Cricetulus griseus: one gene and its partner. Each later gene encodes a partner of the first gene's protein in a complex. Links are inferred from orthologs where the notes say so. Each region holds a gene or a part of one and is shown in the gene's direction. Other genes may lie near its edges.

Region 1 (3,916 bases):
AGATGAGCCCGAAAGTGGGCAGCACTGTCCCATGGGCTGGGGTCCCGGACTGGATAAAAAGGAGAAAGTGAGCTGAGCCCCAGCATCCATCTCTCTGCTCCTTGACTGTGGATGCCATGTGACCTGCTGCCTTATGCTCCTGTGTCCATGTCTTCCCCGCCATGATGGACTGTACCCTCAGACCATGAGCCAAGCTAAACTCTTTTACCCTAAGTTGCTTTTGTCAAGGTATTTTATCCCAGCAATAGAAAGAGTGACTAATACATTCAGTCAGCATCAAGTCAGGCTGAATGTGCTGTAATCAGCTCCCTACAAAAGCAACAGAAGTCTCACTCTTTGATACCATCAGGAAGGATGCTCGTTTGTGCACACAGGATTGTGCTTAGTCAAACAAAAGAGGAAACTCCTCAGCCCATATGGACAAGTAGGAAGCTCCAAGCAGTAACCAAACTCCAGAAGAGTGCATGCCTAACATCCACAAAGCCCTGGGTTTGGTCCCTGCAGCACATAAAACCAGGTGTGGTGGAACGTGTCTGTAATCTCAGCATTTAGGATGTGGAGGTAGGAAGACCAGACCTTCAAGGGCATCCTCAGCTATATTGTAGGGAATTAAAGGCAAATCTGGGCTAGAGACACTCTCTCAAAAAGTAAGTACTAGGAGTTGGCCAAGAGGCTTGTTTAGACTTTTAAGGATTTGTATATACTGTAGGGGGACAGAAAGTATTTTAAAAGACATGCTGAAGGAAAAGGGAGAGCAGGAAATATTTCTTTCCCTTTTGGCACTAGGTAAAATTTTCATTGAATTTTTTGTTTCCCGGGGATTGTGTTTACTCTTCTAACCTGCCTCAGTGAGATTCTACATGTATCTGCAAATGGGCTGGGAATATGGTTCAGTCTGTGAGCTGCTTGGTGTGCAAGCATGAGATCTTATAAAAAGTGGGGCCCAGTGGGCTACACATGTTACCCAACATTGAGGAGGCAGAGACAGAGGACACCTGGGGCTCGGTAACCAGCAGTGTAGCCAAATAATGAGCTTCAGGTTCACCAAGAGATCCTACCTCAAAAAGCAAGGGGAGAGTGATTGAAGATGTCACCCACCGCTGATCTACACAAACCTCCACAAAGGCTCACATGCTCACACGGGAGCACAGACTCCCCTGTCTTCAGGATAACTTCAAGACTCTGTTGGGAGAACATAATGAATTTCTAGGGTTCTGATGGTTGGGACTTTGGTTTACATGAAACACTTTCCTGTATAGCATGACTGGGGGAACTGGGTGAGAATTAAGAACTAAGAGGCCATTGGCATAAAAGAATCGTTCCTCTCTTTCACAGGGAGAATGGCATTAAAGCTTGGAGAATGTACAGTTCAGTATTTCACCATAGTGGTCACCATAGTATCTACAGCCTGGCTCTCACACCAAGCAGTGCTCTTTGCTGGGCTGTCTGGGTACTTGCCTAGCATTTGGGAAGCAGTTTGGGGTGTCAAATGTTGCTTAAGGGCCCCTGAGTTAAAAAGCCTTTGTACCTGGGGTGGAACTAGGGAAAGTGGTGATTTCTAGTAAGAGGTCTTTGGTCATATGATCATAAGGGATGTGACCTCACAGGAGACTGCTGGACCCTGACTTCTTTCTCTTTGTCCCCAGGACTCTTTAGCCAGGAAGTTTAGCCCTGAATGCACTCTCAACACTCTGAGCATGGCCGGCTGCTCTGGCACAGGCTCAAAGCAATGGGGCAGCCAGTCATGGACCAGACTACAAGCAAACCAACCTTTTTCTCTTATGCGTGGATTAGCTAGTGTGCTTATTGCAGTGGTGAGCGCTAAATAACAAGAGATTTTATGTTACTTAAGCTGTCCTGTAGGACACAGAAGACATTGACTTCTGTTTGTCTAAACTTCAGCCTGGGAAGAGTTAACTGGTTAGTAGGGATAGCCTAGACCAGCTGTGGGAATCCACATCTGTAATCCCAACACTGGGGAAACTGAGGCAGAAGGTTTGTGAGTTCAAAGGCAGTCTGGGCTATATCGTGAGACTCTGTCTCCATCCTCGTTAGAGGATTAAAAAGAAAAAAAAAAAAGTGTTGCCTACCTTGTCCCTGCTCAAGGCTCATGACTTGTACTTTCTGGTTTGGAGGGGAAAGAGGGAGGTTGTAGCTGCCTCCAGATCGGTAGCTGGGGTCCCTCCCTTTCTCTCCTCCCAGCCAGCCCTGTGCTCTCCCCCCATTCCCTCCCTGCTATTCCCAGCGGGTGGAGTCGTGCGAGCAGTCCTTATCAATGGGCACAGGCCTGTTAGCACTCTTGCTACCTCCTTTAGAGAGCGGCAGTCCCTAGCCTGGCTGTGGATCTGGTCGGATTGGGTAGGTTCAGCCATGGTTTCTCTGGGCTTGGGGGTCGCCCAGGATCCTGGACGCCTTGTAGGACGCTGAGCGGGTCGCCGAAATAGACACCGAACTCCCGAGTGGCCAGAACGCAAAGGCGAACAACAATCGGAGGAGCACTGGCACCATGAGCCTCTGGCTGTCATCGTGGTGGCCACCTTCACTGCTGCTGCTGCTGCTGCTCGCCAGAGCAGCGCACACTGTGAGTACGCGCCCCTCCAGGACGCGGACCCGAGCGACCAGCCCGCGTTCCTCTACTGGGTCCTAGGAATTATGGGGAGCAGTCGATCTCTCCTTGCTTAACAATGGCATCGTTCACTCTGTCGGAGTCCACTTCGGAGTCCCCTTCTCCAAAGGCAAAACATCCTGGGCTCTTTGTCCCAGGTGAGGCAAATCTAGGCTCAGACCCCTCGACCTTCACTCATCCCTTCCGGCCCGCTGAACCCACTTCTTTCCAGCGGCCCCAGCAATGATAAGTGTGCTGCACACTTGCCCTCTAGTGCTTCATCAAAACCCCCTCTGCCCTTTCTGAGACCCGGGTCACTCAGGCTTTACAAGCAAGGACACCAAGGCTCAGAAAAGAGAGGGGGAGGTTTACTCCATGTCAGAAAAAAAAAAGTCAGAACCCACATTCTTCAGGCTAGCAGCCTGACGATTTTACACGCTCCGGGTTGCAGATGAAAAATTTTAGAAAGCGATGAGTAGAGATTTTGCGTCTGTGGTGGGACCATTTTCAGTCCCGTGTGTCGTCCACCTCCCTTCGCCTCCCCCCCCCCGCCCCCCGGGACTGGATTTCTAAAGTCTGTGCCTGTGGGCTCCTGGGAGCAGCGGGTTGCAACAAACTCAGGGCAGGAGAAGAAAGTTGGAGCAGAGAGAAGCCAGGGGGTGGTTTGTGTTTCTTTCCCATAGAAACCCTGGGAACTTTGGGCGGCTTCCCCTGGGATATCTGGAGAGACAGGCTGCATTGAGGCTGGCAGGATGGAAAGAACTGAGGAGAAGGTCAAGGCTTCGGGGTTGAGGACTCCAGGGTTACTCCTCCCGACAAGCTCTGCAGAGTGTGCCCCACTCCCCCCACCCCAGGTATGCGTTCTAAGAAACCACTGGGAATATAGATCCCGAGATGACTGTCTAGGTTAATGACTTAGTTTTCCGTTTCCTGAAGCATCTGTGCAACTCCAGGGCTGCAGGAACAGGCTCAGCTTTCTTTTTTTTTTTTTTTTTTTTTTTTTTTGTCTCGAAGGGATGCTCCTGGTTATTTCAGGAATAAACAGATAGGGAAACTGAGGCTTTTTTGGTTCAAGTCTTCACTGCACCTTGGAATGCTGCTTGTGTATAATCAAGTCCTTCATTTAACAGATGATCAAAAGCCCTCAGAGAGAGACTTGTTTCATTCAGATAGACACTGTCAGGAGCAGGGCTGGGACTAGAGCCTAGATTCCTAACTTGGGGGGGGGGGTATGCGAGCACGTGTGTGTGTGTGTGTGTGTGTGTGTGTGTGTGTGTGTGTGTGTCACACACACAGAGGACCTGAGGTTTG
Region 2 (2,351 bases), on another chromosome or scaffold:
AGGGTTACATAAGACCTCCTCTCAAAGATTCAAAGCAAAAAACTCCAAAGCTCAAACCTAACCCCTCCCCCCAAAATACAAGCAGAACTGGACTTGGTGACCCGTGGTTGCAATCTCTGCTTTTGAGAGGGTAAGGCAAGGAGATTGCTGAGGGTTCCAGACCAATATGGGCTACATAGTGAGTTCAAAGGCAGCCTGAGCTATGTACTCTGTCTCCAAAAACCAAGCCAAATAAAACATTCCCAATAACAAAAAAAAACACACGATTTTTACTCAAGAGCTAGTTCATAACTGTTTGTTAGGTTTGTAATTTGATTTGTCTTTCCGGTTTGGGTTCCGGTGCTGCATGGAACTCAGGTCCTGGTGCACGCTAAACAAGTGTTCTACCACTAAGGTTCCGGACTCCGGGGATGAAGATGTTTTGCAAGCCTATCTGTCATCAATCCCCATTCATAACTCCTCCTCCCCACTCCCCTACAACCTCCATGGCCTGCTTTTCTCTTTTTCTAACCCATCTCTGCTTTCTGCTTCCAACATGAATAGGCTGTTTTCTTCCATCCAAAAAATGCAACCTCGGGGCCTAAGAGGATTCCCATTTTTGCTTCGGATGCTGGGCTGACCTTACAGGCACTTCTCTGCATCTGTCTCCCTTGGGCTGCTAGGACTCTGGCCTCCTTTCCCCCTTCTGAGGAAGAGTGCTCCAGGGTCTAGGTCTAGGCCAGGCGCCAATATGAACTGAGGCTCTAGAGGCCTGGCAGTGCGGTTCCCTCTGCCTGTCTGAACTGCCATACCCTGTTCCCTGCCCCTGGTCCCAGATGGAGGTGTCCATTTCGCTACCTGGTAGCATTACCCCTCTACTCCCCACGCCCAGCCAGCTGAGGGGCGCCAACACGGCGGTGGGGACAGGAGGTGGCCGGACGACAGCTGGGGGGGCGGCCCTGACCTTCCAGCAATCGATGGGGCGCGGCCGGCCGCGCGGAGCCGGGGCGGTGCCGGAGCCCCCTGCCTGCCGCAGGGGCAGCTATAAAGCAGGGGCGCGGGGCTCAGGCTGCAGTTGCACACACAGAGCCGGACCATGGAGCCTCCACTGCCCACACCGCCGCTACTGCTGCTGCTGTTGCTGCTCGTGGGCTCCGCCGCGCTCCCTGCGCCCCCCAGGTGAGCTGGGTAGGGGGACTCCACTTCACCACGGCCACGCCCACAGGCCCATTTGGTCGTACTCTGAGCCCCCTCACGCCGCCTCTCCCCAGGATCCCAAGGCACTCAGACGGGACGTTCACCAGCGAGCTCAGCCGCCTGCAGGACAGCGCCAGGCTGCAGCGCCTGCTGCAGGGTCTGGTGGGGAAGCGCAGGTGAGCAGCCTGAGGTAGAACTCTCCAGACTTGCTGGTATGGGACAGGCCTGGCATGGTCCCCTATCAGCAACCTGCCACATCCCAATACTACCACTAATTCTAAATTGGGCTGGGGTGGGGGGCAGTGAGCAGGACACAGAAAGTATCCCAGAGAACAGCCTGGCCCGGTCCAAGCCTTCAGAGGACCAGCTCTGCTTGCTGTGGTCGAACACTCAGGCCCTACAGGACTGGTGAGCATTCCACCCTCAGCTGGACTCCTAAAGCACCCTTTCCTGTTCCCTCGCCACGTGGGAGCGTGCGCTCTAATGGTCACTTCTAATCCCCTGACCACCTATCTCCCTCCACAGGCTTCTCCCCAGGCTTCCCCTGGATGGGTCCTGGTCTCCCTGGCTGCCTCCTGGACCAAAGCCTGCCGTCGATGTTTCAGAGTGGACTGAAGCAACCAGGCAGCCCTGATGAGGGAGGAAGGGGCCTGGCTGGAGCCAGGGTTTGGTTGTCCTTGGTATCAATAAAGAAGGAATTTAGACCCTGGTCTTTTAGCTCATGGTGTGGTGATGTCTTATAAAATCAAGGCAACCCCTGCTCAGTGAGCTTGGCAGGTGTGGACAGTTCCGTCAACCTCATACAATGGCTAGGACCACACCCAGCTGCCCTTTGAACTTGGGAGGTCAGCTAAGACATTTCTTCCTTATCTCCAACATCAACTGTACTCCTCTTTCCCCAGTTGAACTCCCCAGTGTCCCACCCTGCCCTGGGATCCCAGGGATCCCAGCCCTGGTTCAGCCATGTGGTCGGGGTGCTTAGAGTAACGAAGAGGCCCAGGCAGGACAGATAGGCTTTACTTGTGAGTGGAAGGACCTGCCTGCATGTCTATGTGGTCTTGGCACAATCCTGAGCCTGGATAGTGATGTCATCTCCCAGTAGACAGCTGTGGGACCACTGAAGGGTCATGAGACAAAGTACTTAATCCTGACAGAGGTCTGGAGACTCAGGCATC

Evidence for each region.
Region 2: the proteins of Sctr (region 1) and Sct are in contact, whole or in part, in a cryo-EM structure (PDB 6WZG), measured with the Homo sapiens proteins. The link is inferred for Cricetulus griseus from reciprocal best matches to the Homo sapiens genes SCTR and SCT. Residues at the interface, in NP_002971.2 of Homo sapiens: Arg30, Leu31, Cys32, Leu35, Asp71, Asn72, Pro117, Val125, Val127, Asn128, Asp129, Asn132, Arg135, His136, Leu139, Leu140, Leu142, Lys143, Tyr146, Tyr150, Arg188, Asn192, Lys195, Leu199, Phe200, Ser202, Asp203, Val205, Met219, Phe222; in NP_068739.1 of Homo sapiens: His28, Ser29, Asp30, Gly31, Thr32, Phe33, Thr34, Ser35, Glu36, Leu37, Ser38, Arg39, Leu40, Arg41, Glu42, Arg45, Leu46, Gln47, Arg48, Leu49, Leu50, Leu53, Val54.

Annotation. Positions count from the first base shown.
Region 1 is NC_048598.1:68,524,597-68,528,512, reverse strand, and holds the start of Sctr (secretin receptor), read left to right. Parts: upstream 1-1,260; coding exon 1,261-1,277; intron 1,278-2,444; coding exon 2,445-2,640; intron 2,641-3,916.
Region 2 is NC_048596.1:59,906,773-59,909,123, forward strand, and holds Sct (secretin), read left to right. Parts: upstream 1-1,075; coding exon 1,076-1,158; intron 1,159-1,250; coding exon 1,251-1,352; intron 1,353-1,479; coding exon 1,480-1,584; intron 1,585-1,701; coding exon 1,702-1,810; downstream 1,811-2,351. UniProt on the Homo sapiens protein: Hormone involved in different processes, such as regulation of the pH of the duodenal content, food intake and water homeostasis.